Linked DNA regions of Danio rerio. The protein of the gene in region 1 interacts with the protein of each later gene in a pairwise test. Links are inferred from orthologs where the notes say so. Each region holds a gene or a part of one and is shown in the gene's direction. Other genes may lie near its edges. The genes, in order: ntaq1, eif2b1, pygma, apip, blmh, necab2 and actb1.

The links.
Region 2: the proteins of ntaq1 (region 1) and eif2b1 interact in binary tests that used the Homo sapiens proteins (3 or more experiments, as listed by UniProt). The two-hybrid records come from large-scale screens. The link is inferred for Danio rerio from reciprocal best matches to the Homo sapiens genes NTAQ1 and EIF2B1.
Region 3: the proteins of ntaq1 (region 1) and pygma interact in binary tests that used the Homo sapiens proteins (3 or more experiments, as listed by UniProt). The two-hybrid records come from large-scale screens. The link is inferred for Danio rerio from reciprocal best matches to the Homo sapiens genes NTAQ1 and PYGM.
Region 4: the proteins of ntaq1 (region 1) and apip interact in binary tests that used the Homo sapiens proteins (3 or more experiments, as listed by UniProt). The two-hybrid records come from large-scale screens. The link is inferred for Danio rerio from reciprocal best matches to the Homo sapiens genes NTAQ1 and APIP.
Region 5: the proteins of ntaq1 (region 1) and blmh interact in binary tests that used the Homo sapiens proteins (3 or more experiments, as listed by UniProt). The two-hybrid records come from large-scale screens. The link is inferred for Danio rerio from reciprocal best matches to the Homo sapiens genes NTAQ1 and BLMH.
Region 6: the proteins of ntaq1 (region 1) and necab2 interact in binary tests that used the Homo sapiens proteins (3 or more experiments, as listed by UniProt). The two-hybrid records come from large-scale screens. The link is inferred for Danio rerio from reciprocal best matches to the Homo sapiens genes NTAQ1 and NECAB2.
Region 7: the proteins of ntaq1 (region 1) and actb1 interact in binary tests that used the Homo sapiens proteins (3 or more experiments, as listed by UniProt). The two-hybrid records come from large-scale screens. The link is inferred for Danio rerio from reciprocal best matches to the Homo sapiens genes NTAQ1 and ACTG1.

Annotation. Positions count from the first base shown.
Region 1 is NC_133194.1:37,454,723-37,458,716, forward strand, and holds ntaq1 (protein N-terminal glutamine amidohydrolase), read left to right. Parts: upstream 1-1,194; coding exon 1,195-1,274; intron 1,275-1,354; coding exon 1,355-1,454; intron 1,455-2,627; coding exon 2,628-2,678; intron 2,679-2,758; coding exon 2,759-2,907; intron 2,908-3,332; coding exon 3,333-3,457; intron 3,458-3,543; coding exon 3,544-3,647; 3' UTR 3,648-3,663; downstream 3,664-3,994. UniProt on the Homo sapiens protein: Mediates the side-chain deamidation of N-terminal glutamine residues to glutamate, an important step in N-end rule pathway of protein degradation.
Region 2 is NC_133180.1:75,666,721-75,670,810, reverse strand, and holds the start of eif2b1 (translation initiation factor eIF2B subunit alpha), read left to right. Parts: upstream 1-1,290; 5' UTR 1,291-1,577; coding exon 1,578-1,590; intron 1,591-2,507; coding exon 2,508-2,609; intron 2,610-4,090.
Region 3 is NC_133196.1:31,536,303-31,539,802, forward strand, and holds part of pygma (glycogen phosphorylase, muscle form), read left to right. Parts: intron 1-705; coding exon 706-764; intron 765-851; coding exon 852-993; intron 994-3,395; coding exon 3,396-3,500. UniProt on the Homo sapiens protein: Allosteric enzyme that catalyzes the rate-limiting step in glycogen catabolism, the phosphorolytic cleavage of glycogen to produce glucose-1-phosphate, and plays a central role in maintaining cellular and organismal glucose homeostasis.
Region 4 is NC_133182.1:51,746,701-51,748,966, forward strand, and holds the end of apip (methylthioribulose-1-phosphate dehydratase), read left to right. Parts: intron 1-297; coding exon 298-346; intron 347-430; coding exon 431-548; intron 549-616; coding exon 617-752; intron 753-1,384; coding exon 1,385-1,552; intron 1,553-1,638; coding exon 1,639-1,738; 3' UTR 1,739-1,766; downstream 1,767-2,266. UniProt on the Homo sapiens protein: Catalyzes the dehydration of methylthioribulose-1-phosphate (MTRu-1-P) into 2,3-diketo-5-methylthiopentyl-1-phosphate (DK-MTP-1-P).
Region 5 is NC_133190.1:31,140,109-31,143,608, reverse strand, and holds part of blmh (bleomycin hydrolase), read left to right. Parts: intron 1-1,521; coding exon 1,522-1,670; 3' UTR 1,671-1,712; exon of another isoform or gene 1,713-1,800; intron 1,801-1,803; 3' UTR 1,804-3,500. UniProt on the Homo sapiens protein: The normal physiological role of BLM hydrolase is unknown, but it catalyzes the inactivation of the antitumor drug BLM (a glycopeptide) by hydrolyzing the carboxamide bond of its B-aminoalaninamide moiety thus protecting normal and malignant cells from BLM toxicity.
Region 6 is NC_133193.1:23,004,290-23,008,581, forward strand, and holds the end of necab2 (N-terminal EF-hand calcium-binding protein 2), read left to right. Parts: intron 1-815; coding exon 816-907; intron 908-3,088; coding exon 3,089-3,117; 3' UTR 3,118-3,792; downstream 3,793-4,292. UniProt on the Homo sapiens protein: May act as a signaling scaffold protein that senses intracellular calcium.
Region 7 is NC_133176.1:10,082,029-10,086,162, reverse strand, and holds the start of actb1 (actin, cytoplasmic 1), read left to right. Parts: upstream 1-1,334; 5' UTR 1,335-1,433; intron 1,434-2,401; 5' UTR 2,402-2,403; coding exon 2,404-2,526; intron 2,527-2,925; coding exon 2,926-3,165; intron 3,166-3,476; coding exon 3,477-3,915; intron 3,916-4,001; coding exon 4,002-4,134. UniProt on the Homo sapiens protein: Actins are highly conserved proteins that are involved in various types of cell motility and are ubiquitously expressed in all eukaryotic cells.

The DNA of each region.
Region 1 (3,994 bases):
CCAGTTCACCAGCTCTCAAATCAGTGGGTCCACAAGTGCTAATGAGATCATTAGTAAAAGACATTCCTAAAAACGAGGTGTTAATGGTGGGCTTTTTCTGATGGCTACACCTCAAAACATAGGTGGCCCTATACATCTTGTTAAAAGAATATGGTTAATATTTGTTGGTTTAGCTTACTTTATAACATCATAAGTATTTGAATGTTATCAAATTTCATTTTAAACAAACACGTTAGCAAATAGTGGATTCTTAAACGGTAAAAGTGTAAAGAGCTGTTTATTTGTGGCTCAGAAATGGGGATTTAGCCTATGAAAACAATAAAAAGTGTAATAAAACAGTTGTACAAGTAAATAAATACATCTCTCAGAATGTGATATATTTAATCCAAAAAAATATTTACCTTATTTTACAAAAGACATCTTGTACGCATATATATTTAGAACATTTTGTGGCTTTTTATGACCAAAGCAAGTGTGAACCAAGACAACTTTTGACAAGACTACATAGTTATTCATTTAGACTATGTGCTAACCTCCTTAATATTAACTCATACTGTGGTTTTGGTAGACAATTTGAATGGACTGATAGTTTGAAACATATTGTCAGGACTCTATAATGAGTGAACATGTATAGAGAAATGAAAGGGTTTGAGATAAACATGCATTAGAAACAGAAACACATTTTCAGTTTAAAACAAAATATAGTTCACAAAAAAAATTTATAGATATCCACAAACATTTATACAAGTATGTGGCAAAAAACGAATTAACGTGCAACAAAATACAATCAGATACTCTGAAATTAGAAACCAATACATTGGCTAATTGTATTGAGTTGAGAACGATGCCTAACTGCACGTTATCTTTCGCTAACGTGTTTTCTACTTATGCTTTATGAAAGTTAGACTGTTTAATATTTATGCTGATAATCGTGCAAGTGCTACATTTGCAATTCACATAAGGAGTGAATGTTCGCGCATCACCTGTCTCGCCGGAACGACAAATCCCCTGAAGTTCCTTACGGACAAGATACATTGTAACAAGCAACAGTGCGGTTGCAACGCGAATCGCTTCATTGTAATATTAATGTAAATATCTATGGTATCATTATACACATGTATTCTTTTGTCATGTCGTTATAACTGGAAGTCCGCGTAAACCTACTGTATATACACGTATATAAGGAAGGAAAGAATGAATGAAGAAAGCGCTTCGTCTGAATATAAAGTGATCACCCCGTCCGGAAACCAATGTGTTTACACCAGCTGTTACTGGTAAATGCGATAATACCTGTAACATTATTTCAAATTTAAAACGTACCGTATTCATACACGTATTTAAATGTTTGTTGCAGTGAGGAGAATGTGTGGAAATTGTGTGAATATATCAAGAATCAGAGACATTGTCCTTTGGAAGAGGTGTATGCAGTATTTATATCTAATGAAAGAAAGAAGGTGAGCTTCATCTCCACACAAGTATTTTACATTTAATGAAATGTACAGTTTTCTGTTATATACATACATACACACACACACACACACACACACACACACACATACATATATATATATATATATATATATATATGTATATATATATATATATATATATATATATATACATATATACACACACACACACACACACACACACGTATACAGTCACCGGTCACTTTATTAGGTACAGCTTTCCAACTGCTGCTCAACGCAAAAATAAGCCAATCACATGGCAGCAACTCAATGCATTTAGGCATGTAGACATGGTCAAGACGATCAGCTGCAGTTCAAACCAAGCATAAGAATGGGAAAGAAAGGTGATTCCAGTAACTTTGAACCTCGAACCTTGAGGAGATGGGCTACAGCAGCAGAAGACCACATGGGTGCCACTCTTGTCAGCAAAGACCAGGAAACTGAGGCTACATTTCACACTGGCTCACCAAAATTGAACAATAGAAGATTGGAAAAGCGTTGTCTGGTCTGATAAGTCTCAATTTCTGCTGCAACATTCGGATGGTAGGGTAAGAATTTAGCGTCAGCAACATGAAAGCATGAATCCATCCTGCCTTGTATCAACGGTTCAGGTGGTGGTAGTGTAATGGCATGGGGGGTATTTTCTTGGCACACATTGGGCCCATTAGTACCAATTAAGCATTGTGTCAACGCCACAGCCTACCTGAGTATTGTTGCTGGCCATGTCCATGCCTTTATGACCAGTGTACCCATCTTCTGATGGCTACTTCCAGCAGGATAACGCACCATGTCATAAAACGCAAATCATCTCAGACTGGTTTGTAAAACATGACATGAAGTTCTGTAATCAAATGACTTCCACAGTCACCGGCTCTCAATTCAGTAGAGCACCTTTGGGATGTGGTGGAATGAGAGAATCGCATCACGGATGTGCAGCCAACAAATCCACAGCAACTGTGTAATGCTATCATGTGAATATGAACCAAAATCTCTTGAGGAATATTTCCAGTACCTTGTTGAATCTATGCCACAAAGGATTAAGGCAGTTCTAAAGACAAAAGAGGGTCCAACCCGGTACTAGTAAGGTGTGCCAAACAAAAGGGGCCAATGAGTGTATATATAGTATGTATGTGTGTTAAAAATTGTGTAATATTTCAGATACCTATTTGGAAACAAAAGTCCAGTCGAGGGGATGAACCAGTAATTTGGGTAGGAACTTTATATGTATAAAAACTATGCATATTTTATGGTAGTCTCTAATTGATATAAAAATGTTGTTTTCCATTTAGGATTACCATGTTATTCTTCTACACGCAAGTAAACAAGGACCGAGCTTCATTTACGATTTAGACACCATTCTTCCATTTCCTTGTTCGCTTGACGTTTATTCAATGGAGGCCTTTCAGTCTGACAAGCATTTGAAACCTGCTTACTGGAGGCAAGTATTATCTGGTCTAATCTGCATTCTACAAAAGATGAAATAACATAAGTGTAACAAGTACTTAATAAATTTATAAAAGAAAAGCACATCATAAAATGTGAGGACAAAATTGAATGAAGATTTTAATATGAATTAGTATTTTGAGGCTGCATTGTTATCCATTTAGTATGGCCTCACATTATTCTTGTTTTAAATATAACTTAGTATTTTAAACTACTGTTACACTTAACTACATTTTAGAGGTCATCTTATGTAAATTGTGGTGATGGACAATAGTCAATTAATTTACTTTTGCATTAAATAATATTATTTTTATATATATATTTTTTAACAAATGCTTAAACTCCTTTATGTCTTTGACCCTTATAATAATAATAGCCAGTCTTAGTTGAATGTAATCAAAGTGTTGTTTGCTCTTTTAGGAAACTTCGAGTCATACCCGGGGACACTTATTTGAAGGAGTTTGCTTCTGATCGGTCTCATATGAAGGACTCCGATGGGAATTGGCGTATGCCACCTCCAGCATATCCATGTTTAGAGACACCAGGTTTGTTTTCTATTGCAGATTTATATACAGTAAATACTATAATTTGATTTCTTCTTCCACTTTCATGTATAACGTGTCCTTTTCAGAATCCAAAATGAATCTTGATGACTTCATCTGCATGGATCCCCGAGTGGGATATGGAGAGGTTTACAGCCTTTCAGACTTTGTTAAACACTTTGGAGTAAAGTAATGCTTTTTTTCCAGCACATTTTTTGTTGTTGTTGTTGAAAAATGTACATAAACAGAGCCTCAGGGAAAGATCCTATTATGATGGAGAATGCTGCAACTAAGCAGGCCTCAAAAGACACATTTATTGACTCTGAAATTATTTTTACTAATTGAACAGTTGGCAATGTGGCTTAATTATAGTCAGGTAGAAAGGTCACAGAAAAGAAAGCCATTGTTGTCATTTGTCGAGGATGTGTATTATTTTTATAAAGAAATCAGTTACACAGATGTACAGATAATAAAAATGCAGAATTTAAACAAACAACCAAACCGAAATGCGAAACTGTGTAAGCAGTTGTAGTGCTGTAG
Region 2 (4,090 bases), on another chromosome or scaffold:
AAAACCGTTAAACGTTTCATTAATGGTGTTTGTGTGATTTACAAACCCGAAGCCATTGCTGCAATTCCGGCGTCTCTAAATTGATATAAAACTGTATTTCTTTGCTGTTTTCTTCAATATGTTGAAAGTTGTGCTGTTTGGACTCATGCTTAAATCTTCTTCTGTTTATTTAATGGAGAGATTGAACTCAGTGTAGCGCCACCTGCTGTACTGGTGCAGGAAAAAAAATATCATTTTTTAATTTTCCTTCTTTATTTTATTTCGTTTTATTTTATTTTTGTTTTATTTTTATATTTTTTTTACTGTATTTTATTTATTTTTTATTTTATTTTTGTTTTATTTATTTTTGTTTTCTTATTTTTATTTTTATTTATTTTATTTACAATCCTTCGGCCTTCTAATCACAATATTTAGTTTAGTTTAGATTTATTTTCTTTGATTTTATTTTTTTAATTTTTTTATTTTTGTTTTATTTTATTTATCTCATTTCAATTCATTTTTTTATTTTAACTAATCTTATCTTATCCTATCTTATTTTACTATTATTTTTTATTTTTCATTTTTTTTACTTTACTTTATTTTATTTTATTTAACTTTTTTATCTTATTTTATTATTTTATTTTATTTCCTTTTACTTTTTATCTTATTTTATTGTTTTATTTTATTTAATTTTACATTATTTTAATTTAATTTTATTTAATTTTATTTAATTTTATTTAATTTTATTTTATTTTATCACTCTTTTTTTATATTATTATTAATATTATTATTTTATTTTATTATTATTTTGTTTTATTTTACTCACTATCCTCCGGCATTCCATATGCAATATTATATTTTATATTTATTTATCTTGCAGAGACAACTAAACTTTTTTTTTCAGGCACCGAAATTAAACTCTACAAGCTCACAGTTTGTATATGTCTATACTTATAACATTTAATTTTATTATTTTACTTTGAAAAAATATATATATATCATTAGCAGTATATTATTATGCATTCCGTATTGTGTTCTATTAAGTTACGTTAATTAATGTATTTCCTACTCATTAAAGTACTAAATTTATTCCTTATACACACAACAATTATTAATATAAATTAATTTTAGTTCTTTTTTGTACTAATTTATTTATATGCCGTAATAATATTTTTAAAAATATTCGATTCGATTGATAATTATTTTAATTGTGTTATTATACAGTTTGAATAACCCTGTAGTAGAGAATTAAACAAATGATCCTGCTGTTTTTCTGCTGTCCAGCAGCGGCGCTACATGAAGCGACTGTTCACTCGACATAAAACAACGAAGAAGAAGAAAGTGAGCATGTCCACTTGTTCACTGTAAATAGCCTTTCATTTGAAATACACTAGAAGAATAGATGTTATTCAGTTTCTGAAAGGGATCGTATGAAATAAATGGGTAAAGCAAGCATTACTTTGTAGACAAACTTTAAACAATTCGTCGTACTGGATGTCAGAGAGCGTCATGACAGATCGTTGCATCAGCGACACTATCATTATTAGCTCGTGAAACTCAAAACTTGACAGATCTCTGAGAGAGAAAGTGCTTTTAAAATGGAGGAAAGAGGTGAGTTTGACAACAACACAAGACAGAACACACTTAATAATTATTCAGAGATGATTCTGAGTTATTTGCGTAGCTGCTTTGCTTTCCTGAGCATCTTATATTACATTTTGAATTATATTATGATCAATTATGTTGATATGTTGGTTGGTAACGCAAGGCATTTGTGCTTGTTTTCGACCTGTTTGATTGACACACATAATATCAATAATAATTGAGAACATTTCGTGATTCCACGTGTATATATGTATAGCTAATGCATTATGGGAACATCTAAAGACTTTGTTGATCAGGAGATTAATAATATTTCATTTATTTAATTATTTAAAGGTGCAAGAGTCATGATGTTTACACAGATGATTATAGCTGCTCATAGTGTGTGTTATAAAAGCTGTTCTTTATTAATTTTAGGGTTTGACTTTTTTGTTCACTCGCTATTTAATGTCTGAGTAATTGTTAAATGTTGTTAAATGTTTCAATGTTGTTAAATTGTTGGTAATTGTAGTTATTTGTGGTCAAAATTATGAATAGCTTTACTATACTATACTGTAAGTCTAACATTTTACCAAAAGGTTCAGTTTATTATTAATTAATTCATCGGCTAGTACTAAAGACTATAAACATAATTATAAACATAATTATCTAAAATATATTTTACACTTTATATGAGTTTAGTTTTATACTGTATTGTTATCCAGCAGAAGTTTAAATACAATTTCAGTTAGGTAATTTGAAGTTAAGTACTTTTCTTACCCAACACAGCTTACTTTCACCAAACAATTCAACAGCGAAGGTACAGAATTACAAAGACAAAAATGCAAAACGTTTACATTTATACCCTGATATTTTCAGATTGGGAATTAAAACAATTCAACAGTGGAAGTCAGTAATTTATTTGAATATGTATTTCTCTCTTCCAGAACTGGTGGAGTATTTCCGTGGGCAGATCAGGGAAGATCCAGATGTGGCTTCAGCGGTGGCTGCGATTCGATCACTGCTTGAGTTCCTGAAGAGGGATCAGAGTGAGTTTGTGCTGTTTGATTTTCGGCTTGGGATGTGGATGTGAACTGATGCTTGAAATAGATGTGAACCGATGCTTGATGTGGATGTCAACTGATGTGAATTGATGCTTTATTTGGATATGAACTAATGTGAACCGATACTTGATATGGATGTGAACTAATGTGAACTGGTTCTTGTTGTGGATGTCAACTGATGTGAAGCGATGGTTGATGTGGATGTGAACTAATGTGAACTGATACTTAATTTGAATGTGAACTGGTTCTTGATGTGGAAGTCAACTGATGTGAACCGATGGTTGATGTGGATGTGAACTAATGAGAATTGATACTTGATATAGAAGTGAACTCATGAGGGTGTGAACCGATACCTGATATAGATATGAACCCATGCTTGATGTGGATGTGAACTAATGTGAACTGAAACTGGATAATATAGATGTGGATCAATGTGGGTGTGAACCGATGCTTGATTTAGATGTGAACAAATGTGAACTAATACTTGACATAGATGTGATTGTAAACCGATGCTTGATGTGCATGTGAACCGACTCCTGATGTGGGTGTGAACTGATGCTTGATGTGGATATAAACTAATGTGAAGATATAATTGATATAGATGTGAACAGATTCTTGATGTGAATGTGAAATGATGTGAACTAGTTTGAACCTATGCTTGATTTGGATGTGAACTAGTGTGAACCGATGCTTGATGTGGATGGGAACTAATGTGAATCGATACTTTATGTAGATGGGAACTGATGCTTGATAAGGTTGTGAAATTATGTGAACTAATGTGAACCGTTTCTTGATTTAAATGTGAACTAGTGCGAACTGATGCTTGATGTAGATGGGAACTAATGTGAACCGATGCTTGATTTGGATGTGAACTAGTGTGAACCGATGCTTGATTTGGATGTGAACTAGTGTGAACCGATGCTTGATGTGGATGGGAACTAATGTGAATCGATGCTTGATTTGGATGTGAACTAATGTGAACTGATGCTTGATGTAGATGGGAACTAATGTGAACCGATGCTTGATTTGGATGTGAACTAGTGTGAACCGATGCTTGATGTGGATGGGAACTAATGTGAATCGATGCTTGATTTGGATGTGAACTAGTGTGAACCCATGCTTGATGTGGATGTGAACTAATGTGAACTGAAACTGGATAATATAGATGTGGATCAATGTGGGTGTGAGCCTATGCTTGATGTGAACTACTGTGAACTGATGCTTGATTTAGATGTGAACTAATGTGAACTAATACTTGACATAGATGTGATTGTAAACCGATGCTTGATGTGCATGTGAACCGACTCCTGATGTGGGTGTGAACTGATGCTTGATGTGGATATAAACTAATGTGAAGATATAATTGATATAGATGTGAACAGATTCTTGATGTGAATGTGAAATGATGTGAACTAGTGTGAACCGATGCTTGATGTGGATGGGAACTAATGTGAATCGATACTTTA
Region 3 (3,500 bases), on another chromosome or scaffold:
TTTTGCTCACATTTTAGACTACACAGCCATCAGTCTACAGAGATTTCCCAATATTTCTCTGCTGCAATTGCAATAACACAATAAATAACCCAGAAAAAGCCAAAGCAAAACACTACCAAATTACGATAGTATAAACACAGCACTACAAAATGCAAAAGAGAGATCGACTTACCTGTTCTATAATGATTTGTTCAGGTGGGCGGAGTAATACACCCCAAGAGTGAAGAGACTATACTAGTGCTGTTATTGCAGAATATCACATGGCTATCAGTCAATCAGAATCGAGAACCAAGCAGAACTGTTGTGTGTGTGACTGTGTATATATATATATATATATATATATATATATGTGTGTGTGTGTGTGTGTGTGTGTATATATATATATATATATATATATATATATATATATATATATATATATATATATATATATATACTTTATTATTATTTAAATGAAATTATATATATTTTTAGAAGAGTAAATATATAAAAATATTTTGTAAATAATATTTGTCCTAATATTACTATTGTGATTAACCGTATTTTCTTTCAAATAATAGTTAAATTCAAAACAAATACTGAATAAATAAAGGAATGCATAAATTATTGTATTAAGGTATAATGGTCCAAAACACGTCAGTAAATAAAACTGTTAAACATTTAGAAAGACATGTTGTGACTATTTGTGTAAATTCAATTTTACAGGCATCAAGAAAGAGCCTAATAAGCAGTGGACACCAAGAACAATTATGATTGGAGGAAAGGTGATTTAAATGCAGTCAGATCAGCATTCAGATCTTTAACTCCTTAGTGAACTGTGAATTGTCTGATAATTCTATTCTTCTTCCCAGGCTGCGCCAGGATACCACACAGCTAAAATGATCATTCGCCTCATCACAGCTATCGGTGAGGTGGTCAACAATGACCCTGTGGTGGGCGATCGACTCAAAGTCATTTTCTTGGAGAACTACAGAGTCACCCTTGCTGAGAAAGGTGATCGATTATAATATTTGAAGTCTCTTACATTTAAATATTTTATTTGAATTATTATTTTTTTATCTTGCATATATTGTTATTAAAAACTGATATTTTAGTTTGTTAGCTTAAACCTAAAGAAAATGAGAAGTGTTGTTGTGACAACTTACTAAAAATATTTTGTTTTTATGATTTTTTCTTTGACTAACCCTATTTGCTACAGAACTAATCTTACAATTAATGATAACTATAATATTAACCAGAAAATAAAAGCTGTATGCTTCCAGACAGCATATACTGTATATCTAACATTTTACCCACATATAACTCTGTGTCAATGCAATGTGTGATTGCCATTTGATTGAGATGGAAATACCTTATAATTTAATATTTGCAGTGATTTTCACAGCTATGCTTTTCTACGGCAAACACTATCAGTGCCTAAACACAATTCCCAGTTTAAAGGGAAGCTATAATCTCAGGTAACACTTTATTGTAATGTGCAATTCATGCTGTTTACAAACCATTATCTAAGGCTATCAGCTCAATAAACCTTAATTAGTGACTTATTAATAGTAAGGTAGTTGTTGAGCTTAAGTATTGGGTAAGATTATGGATATAACTACTAATAAAGAGACAATATCTAAACAATAGGCAGTAGCTAGAAGTTCATTAGTGCATTAAGCTGTAAGTGTTACCATATCTTATAATTAGGGCTGCACAATATTGGAAAAAAACTGACGTTACAATATTTTCTTTCACTGCGACTATATATATATATATATATATAGCTATATAAATGTAATTTCAGCAGATGACTTGAATAGCTTTTAAACAATTCATAATTAATTGGGATGAACTGTAGTGGAGCATATCTGCATAAAATATAATTTTAAAAATGATAAGCAAAGTTAAATACAACAGAGAAAAGATGCTAATATACAATGATTTATGATTTTTTTTTCAAACAGTCAAACAGTATTTAGTCAAACAGTATTTAGAAGCAGAAATAAAAAATAAAAAAACACTGTATAATTATGATAATAACAACACTATTATTTTTAGTAAATAATGACATAATATACAATTCATCTTTAAGCTATAAACATTTCATTTATTGTGCCTTAATGATTAATTAATAATTCATTAATTTAAGCCAAATTTAATGGCTTAAATTTGCTTCAAATTCAATGAGGTCTTAAATACTCATGCAAATCATAAACTTAGTGTTTAAATTTTTTGAATTTTTGAATTTATTGAATGGGATAGCCCGTTGAGATGAATCATCTAATTTTCGAGGGGGTCCCTAAAATTTTTTAGAAATTACTCCACTGCTTCACCTTTCACACAGTCATAACGGGAAATATCCAGATAATTTCTGGAACGACTTTACTGGTAGATTCAAAAAAGCCCCGTTCACAAAGGCAAGAACGTTCCGGAATTTTTTCCAGAAAATACCATTCACACATCTATTTCAAAATACCAGTAATTTTTTTTAAAAATTGGTATTTGTCAACATAGAAGGGGTTGGGCTTTTGTTGATGGTTTTACTTTGATTTCAAGCTTTAGCATTCATGCAGTTGCTTTGTCCCAGAGACATCCAAAAGGCAGAGGCGCAAACAGCAGCTAAACGTTTACACAGTTGACGACATTACAAATTTTGTGGATAGATAAGTATTATGAACAACTTCGATTAAACATATAAAGGAACACTTTCGCATGTTTAGATGTACATAATGTGTGTGTGCTGGCACTCACCGGCTTCTTCACGTGCACACGCGTCAAGCAACTGAAGCAGAGCTTGAAAGAAAACAAACAGAGGTTTATCATAAGGATTTTATCAATGATTTTTACACAGGTAAGATTAAGAAGGAAGATAGAAACTTTATCTGACTAACATCTAGCAGTTAAATGTGTCTGAAAAAAATATTTAAAGGTTTTTATTTTTCATAAACCGTGCGGATGTGAATGCGTCTGAATGTTCTGATTGACTGGAGTAGACATCTTTTCTGGCAATTTTCCTTCTGCGTTCACACAGAGCAGCATTCAGCAAATTACCGGTAATGTTACAAGTTCTCTTTTAGGAAAACTGATGGAACAAATTTATCAGTATTTAAAAAAAAGGCCTGTTCACACAGGTTCCCTTTGTTTGTTGCTGGTAATTTTCTAGAAAGGGATGTATGTGTGAAAGGGTCTTGTGTTGTTCACTGTAGTGTCTGGTCAACTATAATCCCAACTACATTGCAGATCCCTGCGTTGTGACTATTGCAGCCTCGCACATTGCAATATCGATGCTGAAACAATATATTTTGCAGCTCTACTTATGATTATAACATGGTATGAATGTGCTTTAGCCTACCTTATATAATACGAGTCATGCGATTGTGAAAAATATCCCTATCGTTGTCTTTTTCTCTCAGCGATCCCCGCGGCCGACCTGTCCGAGCAGATCTCCACAGCCGGCACAGAAGCTTCTGGAACAGGCAACATGAAGTTCATGCTGAACGGAGCTCTGACCATTGGCA
Region 4 (2,266 bases), on another chromosome or scaffold:
TTAATTAAAATGTTTATCTAAGTAGTCAAGTTAAGGAGTAAAGTAGCTAAGTAGCAAAGTTAAAACATTAGGTATTATATTGTCTTAGAGTGAATTTTAACATGTCTTTAAACATGACATTATTTTGACAAATTTTCATGTACACTGTAAATAACAATACAGACATTATTTTAAATGAATACCAGTTTTTGACATGGTTTTAGATGTCTTGATTCAATTCTAATGCACAGTTTAGTTTTTGAGCTGATTATTGATTGTTTGTCAAGTCTTGACCTGACTATTTGTTTCTTCTTTTAGTGAGCACATTTATATAGCTCCCTCAGGTGTTCAGAAGGAGAGAATACAAGTAAGGTTTTTTATTTAGTCATGTTGTTGTTTCTGTGTAAAATGAAATAATGCTAAAATAAACTATAACTCCCCTGCTGTGTAGCCAGAGGACTTGTTTGTGTGTGACATTGATGAGAAGGACATCAGTTGTCCTCCTCCACAGAAGAAGCTGAAGAAGAGCCAGTGCACGCCACTCTTCATGAACGCCTACACTATGAGAGGTACATGTCAACACAGAATGTACTGTTTTTAGTCTGTACCGTGTTACATCGTCTTGTCTTTTTCACAGGTGCTCAGGCAGTTATTCACACGCACTCAAAGTCTGCTGTAATGGCAACTCTCCTGTTTCCTGGAAAGGAATTCCGTATCACACACCAAGAGATGATTAAGGGGATTCGGAAAGGAAACTCAGGCACAAACTTCAGGTTGTGGTTCCTGTTATGATGCTTTATGAACACGATTTTAAATTTGAGATGTAAAATGAAGCAAATGAAAGCATATACATACATGATACCTCTTTGAAATCTTTAAGATCTCATTTTTATATCAATATTTTACAACTTACCTTGATTTAAAATAATATATATTGTGTATATAAATTATATTACTCAGCACCAAAGCCAAATCTCTTTTAATCTAATTAATATAATAATCATTTACTGACTTTCAACATATATAACATATATGTTCTGACAGCTGCAGATGTGAATGAATGGTGGAAGAAAGTAGTTTCCTTGTACAAAAGGGATTTTGTGACTCGCTGTGTTTGATATTCTCTTCTATATACACGATTATGTCATCAAACTGTTGTATAAATGCAAAATTACACTCATAGCAGTGCAATATGGCTGTATATTGAATGTATATTTGGATGACTTGAACATAGTTTAAATTCTGTAAATATCTAAATATTAGCAATATTAACTCTTTAACGATAAAAAAGGTGACAACATTCCATTAATTGTGTTTTATAAATGGTTGGAAAAAGAAACTGAAAGTAAAATGTGTCAGCGCCTAATATCCTTCTCTTCTTCTATTGTGTTGTGTTTTTACCCAGGTATGACGACACTCTAGTTGTTCCAATAATTGAAAACACCCCAGAGGAGAAAGACTTGAAGGAGCGGATGGCCCGAGCCATGGACATGTACCCCGACTCCTGCGCTGTCCTCGTCCGCAGACATGGCGTCTACGTCTGGGGAGAGACTTGGGAGAAAGCAAAGACAATGTGAGCTGGGGAATTCAATGCACAACTTTGTTTGTATTTTGTAGAAACATACATTATTGATCTTTTACATCACTATTGTTTTCCAGGTGTGAATGTTATGACTACTTGTTTGACATTGCTGTGCAGATGAAACAGAGTGGTCTGGATCCTTCTGCTTTTCCAACTGAAGAAAAAGGCATTGTTTGAGTCTGCATAATAAAAAACTATAACTGTGTGTGTGCGCATGTGTGTGTTTATAGCGATTGCTCAAATATGCAACTCACAATTTTGTGTTTGTCATTTAAACGGCACCTATTTTATCCTTTTTTCAAGATCTAAGATAAATCTTTTGTGTCTCCAGAAGTTTCAGCTCAAAACACCCATCATATTACTGATTATAGCTTTAGAAATACTGGAATTTTCAGCTCTGAACACAATGTAGCTGTTTTTGTTGCCTGTGCATTTAATGTGAATTCTCTCTGCCCACCGTTCCCACACGCCTCTCAGTGTGCCTAAAACTCCGCCTCAGCCACATCAGATAAACAGCACAGTGACAGACATGAAGGAAGCAGATCTCAGATTTAACGGTTGTGAGAAATACTACTGTAAGAAATTTACCAATGATTATTTGATGTATTTGTTGTGGAGTTGCAACGATGAGTCACACAAGGTTACACATGCGCACACATATAGCGGACACACACACTGTGTGTTTAACTTTGCACTGCTTTTGCA
Region 5 (3,500 bases), on another chromosome or scaffold:
AAGATGCTCATAAACTACGATGGAAACACTTTTACTGAACAAATTCCGGTAAGCGCGTTGAAAAGAAAAGTCATATGATTTTGTTACAAGAGGTCATGTGATGATAAAAGTGTGTGTGAATGGACAAACCAGCAGGCTGAGCACACTGTAAAACACCTGAAATGTTGTTTTGGTCATTCTAAAACACCTTAATCTTTTCGGTATCAGTGTTATTATATTAATGAACTCCAGAACTGTCAAGAGAATCTGAGCTCCACGTTTCATGCCTTTAAAGGCCACCATGCGTTCATTGCGTGTCTGCATTGTCTTCTGAGGCATAAGTCATTTATTAAATAAGGAAAAGATTGATGCAGCTTCTCCTACACGGCAAATTCCGGTTTAACTTTTGATTTTTGCACCAGTTTATCAGGATGTGACGATTATGTTCTCTTTGACTCGTTGAATGAAAACGCTACATTATTCGCACAGCTTTTATACAATATTCCAGTTTTCCACTCATTCCACTCATTCTTTTTGTAAAAGCAATCTGTAAGGCATTTATATTTAACACGAACGAAGATAGCTTGACAGGTTAACAACACTTTAGCAAACATTTATAATTGTTTAATGGTTCAAATGTTGCTGGTATAGGAAACAATCAAACTATTTAGCCTTAACATGCAATGTGCAGCATAACTGAGTATACCACATTATAAAAAATGAACATTTTTATCCATTTCTCAGTGAATATAGGTCATATTTTTGAAAACAAAACTGATTTGTTAAACGGATATATTTATTAAAATAATATTTTAGTCACCAAACGACATAGAACCATAAAGCATTTAAATTTATGCAAAATATTGGGAAAAATACAGTTTTGGTTTCTCTTGAATTTTGCTCTTGAATTTTTTATTTAATATTTGTACCTTAACATATATATTTGAGCTACTAATTTTGTTTTTACTTTTTTGACGCCATTTTATCAGAAAGTGAATATTTTATTCTCCGACTCATTGAATAGCAACGTTGCTTTAAGTGCATTCGCTTTTCATGCGATATTCCAGTTTTGCGCATACATTTAATTTGCATTTGCATGGATGGAAATATAGCTAATGTCAAATTTTACTGTACTGTCCATAAACGCAGCATTAGAAACACCTTGCCGAAAGCGTTAACAGTTTTGTATAGCATGATGAAGTATAGCTTATTAAATGTACATGCGTATTAAAAAAATTCAGCTTATTGAAACCTTTAAGGATTTAAGATGCAGATGACCATTGAAACATGTCCTCGTCGTCTTGTGAAAAGGGTATATAATGTGATTTTTTTCTCAACAGTGCCATCTTTGTTTTCCTGAATATATGAGTAATCAGTAGGCTGATGTCCTACAGTGCATTGCGATCTGACGTTCGTCCAAGAGCTTCTGCTGCAGCAAATTAAACAGCGTTCCACTCCTCCGTCTTGCTATCTTTCTTCTGCTCATCTTTCATTTTAGCCATTTATCTCTGTCTGCTGTCCTTGCCTCATCTCTTCCTGCAGGATATCTGATCATGACAGACGAGTGGTTCTCCGAGTACGTGTACGAGGTGGTGGTGGATAAGAGTTTTCTCTCTCCTGAAGTGCTGGACGTCATGCAGAAGGACCCCGTCGTCCTCCCGGCCTGGGACCCCATGGGAGCCCTGGCGTAACCACAGGAGCCAGTCTGATCTCCTCAACTCCACCTTCAGCTGGTTTTAACCCCCTCCCACCATCTCTCACAACAAGCCTGGTCTAGAAAAAAAAAAGAATAAAGTTTTTTTGCCTCTTTTTTTATTATCACAGGAGTCTGAGTGTGGAGTCATTTCAGTGCTGCGTTTGCATGCTGGTTTCCAACAGGTTGTAATAACGTCCCCTAACGGAGTCCGTGGCATTCTTTAAATACTCAAGTGAAGAGTCCACTGGGTACACCAGAATCTCGCCGGAAATGGTATGTTATCCAGGGATCTTGCGTTTTATGAATAGATGTGCTACTTTCTTCACATACCTTTTCACCTATTATATAGTAGAGAAATTTTCTGATGCAGCTTTAAGTTCAGACTGCATGATTTTGACTCGCCAACAGGTTTTTGAGAAATCGCAGACAACTGATTGAAATCACAGGCAAATCAGAGCCTGTTCACGTGAGTAACAAAGTGTGAACTATTAAAGTCACGATCTGAGAGAATCACCAATAATTCGCTGATATCCGTGAGATATTTGGGATGCTAAATACCTGGAGCTGTTGGTGATTCAGAATCATGCCATGTAAAATGTGTACTGATTGAAAATAACATCGCTGATAAGCTCTAAGCACGGCTAGAGTTTAAAACCAACGATAAACTTCCGATGAAAGCCTAATGTGACTATTTCCAATTTCACAAGGTTGTTTTTAAAGCACTGATGTTGTAATGTAATTACAAAATCCTCAGTTAAATAGACTCAAGCATTCATTTAGTTGTTTAAGCGTAAAAAGATATACAAGAGCGTTGTAACCGCTAGTGCCGTCAGTAGCAACAGAAGTTCCATTGAAAATACTGGGGTCAAATAAAGGGTCATATTTTAAAGACATGGTGGGGGAACTGGAATTAAATGCAGGGCTTCCTGTCCGATCTGAGACCCACTTATATCATATCATATATCTAACAGGCAGCGAAGATCGCTGATTTTAAACGTGACAGTTTTGTAATGGAAAGACAGTTTACTTGAAGCCATAGGGCTGCCCTGCTGAAAATTAAAAGTCTGTGTGCATATAGCCCATTACCTACCGCCAATGAGTAAGCAGCATCCACTAGTATGGGTATCTGCAGGCCAGCGAGAGGTTCGGGAAAAAGTTAAAAGGGCTTCTTTTCAGAAAAAAAACGTCACCATTTGACAATAGTGCAGGTGAAAAAAAACTAGAAACTAGACTCATAACAAAAAGAAAAAAGCTGCGCGGCATCAACAGAGCTGTGAAGGGAGTGCTCTTTCCCTCGGTCTCACACACGCATACAGGCATCTAAACGCGCACAAGCACACCTTTTAAACTTGACAAAAACTCTTGAAAAACTTTACTGTCTGCTGTGTCTTTAATATGGTCTAAAGATTATTATGCGTTATTGAAACATCAAGGAGGACGCAGCAAAGAAAAGTCACTTATAAATTAAAACTTTATTATTTTATGCAACAGCCTTACATTTAAAAGGGGAACATAAGGGCGATCATACGCAAAAAGACCCCAGCCAATAAGGCTAGATGTTTTCTTTCCCTTATTTATTTATATTTGCCGCATGTACTCGTGTGCGATCGGAAAACTGTGTCTGCACTCCGCCTCTCCTTTCACTCTGCCCCGAAGCCCCAGTTGACCTGTTTAGCACTCGGAAGTGACAGTGGAAACGCGACTGGCCTTGGCTCGCTCACTTTAGGCGCGATAGTGGAAACGCGGCTGGTCTCATGCACTCCATGACGACCACAGCATCAGCTCAGGATACAGCCTGGTCCAGGATTATGGATACCTTGGGTTT
Region 6 (4,292 bases), on another chromosome or scaffold:
ATGTGACCTGGAATTTGTTAAGACTTTTATTTATGTATGTTGATGTACTTCCAACTGAAACTGGATATTAAGTAGGGGGTGAAGTTTTTTTATTGCTCATCATCCCCTTGTAGAAAAGGGGTGTGATTAAAAAAATATCAAACTGACATCAACAGAGAACCGCCACTCCTAATGTGGAAGCAACATGTCAGATTTTGAATGAAGATTAACAAAACTAAACTAAACTAAACTAAACTAAAAATCTGTGAATTAACTTGCAAAATGATTGACTACAGTAATTTTGCAATTATTAGAGTACTAGTAGACTTTCTGCTAGCACTTTATTTTGATACTCCTTCAAAACATTAAATACAAGTAACTTTGCAAGTACAGTACAGGGCAAGTAAAGTTATAGTTTACTATAATTATTGATATTTGTGATTAACATTCAATTTCATCTCATTAGGCCACTTTTTTGTCAAGACTTTCCCTTAAATTTTATCATGCTTTACATTATTTTTAAGACCATCTTTGTGATATTATGTTATGGAATGAACAAACACATTAACATAGTTTACTACTTGTTAAGTATGAAGCTTAAGACATTTTATTTTAAAAAAAAGGTCATGCTATTGTTGAAAATTGCATCTTAAAACCAGAAGTAAATGGGGCGCTAGTTGACTAGAAGATACAAAGTCAACAGAATTTATAAATGGTCTAGTTCTGTTCAGAATCTATTTAGCTGCAAAGTCACATGTACAGTATTTTATTGATGCTGCTTTGCATCTGAAGACTGATTATAATGCTGGAACTGTGTCGCTTGATTTCCCTCTCAGGCATCTTCTGACTGCAGCCTGCAAGGCGTTCCAGCATGTGAAAGTGGATACTCTGTGTCAGCCTGAGGCGGTGTCCACTGTCGCTGTGCCCGGTGTGTTCTTCTGTCTGCTATAGAGGCTGCTGTGGGCATTAGAGCCAAACCAGTCTTTGATGCTGCTTGTTTTGCATGTATTGTGTAGTCTAGAGGAGGGATGTCCTTACATTTCACAGCTATTATGAATTCCTACTTGCCCTGCAGGATTACTCTCATTTTCAGCATGTCTGTCCTCTGACAGTCTCTGCATTTGGAGCTTCTGTATTGCAAACACTCTTGCGCTCATTCCAGCTCTATTACAAAATAGAAATACTGAAAGAAAAAAAAACACTCAAGAGCCTGCATACATTTGAAGTCAGAATTATTAGCCCCACTTTGATTTTTTTCTTTTTCTTTTTTAGATATTTCCCAAATGATGTTTGACAGAGCAAGGAAGTGTTCACAGCATGTCTGATAATATTTTTTCTTCTGGAGAAAGTCTTATTTGTTTTATTTCGGCTAGAATAAAAGTAGTTTTTTTTTTAAGGTCAAAATTATTAGCCCCTTTAAGCAAACATTTTTTGATAGTCTACAAAACAAACCATCATTATACAATAACTTGCCTAATTACCCGAACCTGACTAGTTTACCTAATTAACCTAGTTAAGCCTTTAAATGTCACTTCAAGCTGTATAGAAGTGTCTTGAAAAATATCTAGCCAAATAGTATTTACTATCATGGTGGCAAAGATAAAATAAATCAGTTATTAGAAATTAGTTATTAAAACTATCATGTTTAGAAATGTTGAAAAAAAAATTGTCTCTCCGTTAAACAGAAATTGGGGAAAAAATAAACAGGGAGGCTAATAATTCTGACTTCAACTGTAGTTGTAAAAAGGACATATAAACTTAAATAGGCACACAAATGGTGCTGAGCAGTAATTTGTAATTAAATTGTAGCATATTTGATATTTTATTCTGTCATTTAGACAATGGCAGATAAAAAAATTGTAAGTTACTAATTTTTCCTAATTCTAGATGTCACTTTTTCATTTAAAAATACAAAATATGTTACAATTTGTATGCATTTGGACAGTTATGTACACAATGGCAAACTATTTAGTTGTTTATTGATTTTTACTAATTGTAGATATCTCTTTTTAATTAAAAATACAATAAAATTGGCCTTTTTTATACAGTGAGAAAGTTATGTACACAGTGGCAGGCTATTTTGTCGTTTACGGATTTAATTTTTTTTTCTAGGTGTTACGATGTTACGCTTTGAATAAAAAAAATAGAATAGAAATGCCATAATTTCAGCATTTTAAAAACAAGTTTAGTATAATAGATTACAATAAATATTTTTATACAAGTGCATATGCATTTACATTAAATATGCTTATATTCGTTATTTAAAGTAATAATGTGGAAGTTGTGTAGTTTAGAACTACTGTTATTAAAAACTAAAATTGATATGATCTATAGACCCTTTTCACAAGACTGTTATGATGTGTTTAACAATCATCATAATCTTAAATCCTTGAATCCTTTTAAATATTTAGATTAAAAAAACGTTTATACATTAATATGCATTTATGAATATTTTATATAATCTTTGTGTCAAATTACAAAAAACTCAGTCTCACGCAATTTTTTCTTTTTTTGAAAGTCTTGATAACACCATTGTTGAGTTTTTCTTTTATTATTTCAGCTAATAGGACTATAAAAAATATTATTTGTACTCTCACTGCGCTCTACGTTTACCTAACCATGATGCCTTATGGAAATGTGAAAAGGGTCCATTATTAAAACTTATTAAAATTATTTGTTTACATACTGTTATATATAATTAACACTATAATTATTTATAATGAATTTATTATAAATAGTTGACCTTAAAGTATGTGTGTGTATAAATCTATGTCTGTGTGTCTATGTGCAAGTGGCTGCCTGTGCTGAGTGTGCTTTTAGTAAGTGCATTGATTCTCTTTCAAATGTTTCATTACACGTTCCAGGGCTAACCAAATCTATCTGTATGTCTCTCTGAATGTGAAGCGATCAGAGCAGCCTACAGTTTACAGTGCTTTGCATAACCGCAAAACTATAAGCTTGTCTAGAATGTGTTTACAGAAATTTGTCAACCGCTATACAAAGAATTTTACTGTCTTTCATTACTTTAATAATGACACTGACTCTCTGTCTCTCTCTCTCTCTCTCTCTCTCTCTCTCTCTCTCTCGCTCACTCTTTTACTCTTTCTAGCCGCCTGGTGCAGCCTGAACAGGGACTGAGAAGTGTGCCAGTCTGCGGGTGGGACGTCCCGCTTATTGCCTGAAACCCCTCTCTTCTCTCTATCTTTCTGTCACAGTCTCTGCTTTCTTACCTCCTCTTTCTCTCTGCTCCCCCACTCCGTCTCCTCTTTTGTAATTACTTGTTTACACAGTATCCATTTAATATTGAGCCAAAAGTAGTGTCTCCAGACACAGTTCCCTCTTCACATCCACTGCAACACACAGAAACCCACATCAAAACTCCCACCGCATTCGGGAAGCTCACTTTTGCACCTAAAACATCACCTTACATGAACAGTCTCTACTAACCAAAAGAGGCCGATTAATATTTCATCCCAATTCAAGCACGCATCCGCTGCTTTGCAGACAGTTCCCTGCGGTACAACTTCTGAGAAGACAAAAACTGTGCAGCAAAGTATTTCTAAAGCTGTCCATGGACACTAGCATTTCTGTAAAGGCTGTTTAATACTAGGTATAGGTTGGTCTATTAAGTACTTTGGACTGTATCTTCATGAATTGTTTGTGTAACGCACTGAGCCATGTAGAAGGACTGGTGCTTCTGTCAAAACCGTGAGCATGACCAATACTGCCAGTCAAGGGGCCTACATTTACAACACATCCAAATCAACATCCGCTCCAAAAAGCACAATGTTCCTGAACGAGGAATGAAATGCTTGTATAAATGAGATTCGCTGACGAAGAGAACATCATTTTATGTTGATCACTCTTGAGAGGGAATATATAGATGTGGGACGAGTGCTTAAATTAAAAGAGTGGCATTGACTTAAAGGGATAGTTCATCCAAAAATGTATTTTACACTATTTACTCGTCCTGAGTAGTAGATATTTTGAAGAAAGATACCGTAGATATATACACTAGAAATTGCATATGGACCCTGTGCATGCGTCAATAGTGCCGCCAAATTTGTACAGTGCTCTCAGGACAAAAGTCATTCAACCGCACTAGTCAAGACCAAAGCCAATCTGATGATGCTGGACTTTTGTGCTGCAAACAGGTTTAGTAACGAGCAAAGAAAGAAAACAAAGCATAAAGGCAGAACATTTCATAGATAAGATGTTGTTTTGTATGTTACGAACTTTTGGGCTAAACAAGTCACGTTATTGATGATTATACAGTCACTTACTGCACAGACCATAAGCGCAAAGTAGCACCA
Region 7 (4,134 bases), on another chromosome or scaffold:
CCTTTCTAGTATTTTTTTTTCCTTGAAGCCATTAGCCTAGCCTATCAGTGTCACATTACTTTATCGAATGTAAACTAAACAGTCTGTGCTTCAAAACATTCACGACATATAGTGTTATTCAATAGTTTATATTATCAGTCTTTTTAAGTAACAGGGTATGTAGGCTGATTTTTTTTGTGCACTCTTCAGATTCCAGTAATGCAGCAGCGTGAAGCGTCATCGGTTTATGACGTAATTACGCAAAAGCCGGCTTGACAGGAAGTGTTGTTTTCTATGGAGCACCGTGCCCTTGTTTTGTATCCCCTGCTTTGCAGATAACCAGATAAAATGAAATATGCTTAATACGGTTGCATCTAACATGCCGAGCGGCGATGTAACAGACGCCGATCTGAGCAACAACAAAACAATAGTCAATATTTCATTAATTTCCGAATGACTCCTGATCTTCTGCAGCTTTACATCCATGATATTATAAACAGCAAAGCATTATGCACAAAAGCAACCTACGATTGAATTAAACAGTGCAATGTTCACAAATAAAGCCTTTTTTAAATATGCTTTTACATTATGTTTTATAGAGTCACGAGAAGTACCTGTACTTTAAATGGGAGCCACGCCCACGTTGTTCATCAAACTAACCTAATAAAATGACACACTTAAAATGTCTTCTCAAGAATTAATCGTAAATGAGTCGTTTTCAACTAGCTGTCAAACATTAACTGAAATGTAAAGCAGATTAGTGTATAACGTTAATCAAATAATGATTTCTTCTCTGTTCTACCAATAATGGCTCTTGTATAACGTTAGTTTACACATTGTTGTCATTTATAGAGCTGAAACATACAGTAAAATACAATATAAGTTTAAATACTATTGGACAATGTCGTACTGCTATGTTTAAACGTCCTGTCATTCCTGCAGCCTAAGTACAGCTTATATAAATGCAACTTTACATCATGCATTGCTCGTTTTTCACAGAAATAATAAACTATTTAACGTTACTCGCTGTATGTGAGGTTATTTAAAAGTAACGTTAAGCCACAGACATGAAGTCTAGCATCCTTTACTGATTTAACTGTGTTCCAATCCAAATGATATACATATCCTTAATTCAAGTGTTACATCTGCCAATGCTGTGTCAAATCAACTTATCGTGTATTTCCTTATCAAATTATTTCGCCTTTTCGCCGATCCCTGACATACATTATTTCAACCCAGAACTTGAATTTCAAGCAACTAGCTTGAAACTCGCCAAGTGGACGACGGCTGGCCAATCAGACCGCTCGCTGCCGAAAGTTTACCTTATATGGAAGGAGCCGGCCGCAGTGCCGGCTATAAAGCTGTGACCCACCTCACGCTCAGCATTGTGAGTTTTCAGTGCACGCTGAGAAGATCTTCACTCCCCTTGTTCACAATAACCTACTAATACACAGGTGAGAATGCTTTTATATTAATATTTACTGGTATTTGGAATAATTTAGTAATGCTTATGATGATTATTGGAGATTTATTTATTAAAGCTATATTTCATTTTGCTTGCTGATCGGATTTGAATTGAAGTCTTGGTCCTGTCTGCCTAAATATGTACTTTGCTGTTGATTTTTACAACGCTGAATAAGTTATGCTGATTTTTGTGCTTGTGTTTTATTAATGGTTTTAACCGGTAGCAGTTCCAGCTTTCAAAGCTAACGTTAGAGTAATACAACTGTAAAGCCTTCTACATAAAGCGATTTATTAAATTCATATTTGGTAGTAAATTGATTTTTAATGTAAGGTTTAATTTAAATGTGGATTTATTAATCAACGTTAACGTTAGTATCATCAACGGCAGTGTTCGCAGTTTGAATGGTGGGTGTGGCTACTATAACGCATTAACCGGTATCACTGCCGTTTAATTCGTGTGCACGGTCAAATATATATAAAAGCTTTTAAAGTTTCTTGTTTGTCTGTAACGTTGTTGGGATTTCATAAACTTGTCAGTCACACACGAAGTTAAAGATTATTGCAGCACTTCTAGTTCGTTAAAGTTAAGTTACTCTTTCTGTTGAAATGGCTTCGTTTTATTTCCTTTTCAAAAGACAAGAGCGTGTTTTAGTGAGCACCGGGATTTCACTCGTGGCGTTGTAAAGCGCTTATCTCGGCCTTTGAGACCGGGAGGGAGTGGTCGCGTCCGTTGGTCTGATTCCACGCGCTGAATCGGCGGCATTGAGCTGCTCTAACTTATTGCCATATAAGGCAATAGTGAGGCTGCCTGGCCACTTCCTTTGTCTCAAATCTCTTGGTTTCAACCCTGCGCCTTTGCGCCGCCTACTGGCCAGACGTCACAAATCCATCAGTCATCACCGCCTATAAAAGACACTACCCATTCATATTTTAACAGTTTCGCTTTTTTTCCCTACAGCCATGGATGAGGAAATCGCTGCCCTGGTCGTTGACAACGGCTCCGGTATGTGCAAAGCCGGTTTTGCTGGAGATGATGCCCCTCGTGCTGTTTTCCCCTCCATTGTTGGACGACCCAGACATCAGGTACATTTAATAAACCATCCTAATAACATGTTAATCATATTGAACCACATTAAACTCTCATTTGTGCATTTTACATCTTTTAAAATCGATTTATATTCGTTTTTAGATAATGAAGTTTATTAAAGTGTTAATTCACAGCTTTATTGCCTGTTTTGAGAATCTGCTTGCATAAGTGATTTTTAAACTTGATCTGATTCTCGTTTGTTTCGAAGTTCTTCAGCTTTGAAAGTCAGATCTAATAAAAGTTAATTTAAGCGTTCATTACAATAAATTCAAGTGAATCTGTTTTAAGCTAACCTTCAACGTTTTTAAATTCCTTCAAACAAATTGGTTCCTCTTTGCAGTTCCTCATTTCTCGGTGAGCTGGTGCTTTAATCCCTTTACTTTTTCTTCCTCTAGGGAGTGATGGTTGGCATGGGACAGAAAGACTCCTATGTGGGAGATGAGGCCCAGAGCAAGAGAGGTATCCTGACCCTCAAATACCCCATTGAGCACGGTATTGTGACTAACTGGGATGACATGGAGAAGATCTGGCATCACACCTTCTACAATGAGCTCCGTGTTGCCCCTGAGGAGCACCCTGTGCTGCTCACTGAGGCTCCCCTGAATCCCAAAGCCAACAGAGAGAAGATGACACAGGTGTGTTCCTGTGATCAATTTGATTTTCATATTGCCTTATTTGGCTTTCTTCCCCTCTTTGTTCACTTCCTTTCTGTCCATTTCCTCTTAGGCTCTGTCACTTGCCATGATCTCTTGATAGGAGGTTCAAAAGGTTCATCCCTATTTTTTCATTCCTTTTCCCCCTCTTGCATGGTAGCTTCTAACCTTAACTCTCCACAGTTGAGCGTTTTAGCATGGTGTGTTGGAGGCTTTCTTGCCCTGTTGTGCACCCATACTCACGCAGATTTGAGGCTCTGAGTTTGGTTTTTAACCAATTATCTCTTCTACAGATCATGTTCGAGACCTTCAACACCCCTGCCATGTATGTGGCCATCCAGGCTGTGCTCTCTCTGTACGCTTCTGGTCGTACTACTGGTATTGTGATGGACTCTGGTGATGGTGTGACCCACACCGTGCCCATCTATGAGGGTTACGCTCTTCCCCATGCCATCCTGCGTCTGGATCTGGCTGGTCGTGACCTGACAGACTACCTGATGAAGATCCTGACCGAGCGTGGCTACAGCTTCACCACCACGGCCGAAAGAGAAATTGTCCGTGACATCAAGGAGAAGCTGTGCTACGTGGCCCTGGACTTTGAGCAGGAGATGGGAACCGCTGCCTCCTCTTCCTCCCTGGAGAAGAGCTATGAGCTGCCTGACGGTCAGGTCATCACCATTGGCAATGAGCGTTTCCGTTGCCCCGAGGCTCTCTTCCAGCCTTCCTTCCTGGGTGAGTTCCTTGCCATGCATTTAAACTGATCTCCCTTTCAAAAGTGATCCTTCAACAGTGACTAACGTTTGCTTTTATTGGTGCAGGTATGGAATCTTGCGGTATCCATGAGACCACCTTCAACTCCATCATGAAGTGCGACGTGGACATCCGTAAGGACCTGTATGCCAACACAGTGCTGTCTGGAGGTACCACCATGTACCCTGGCATTGCTGACCG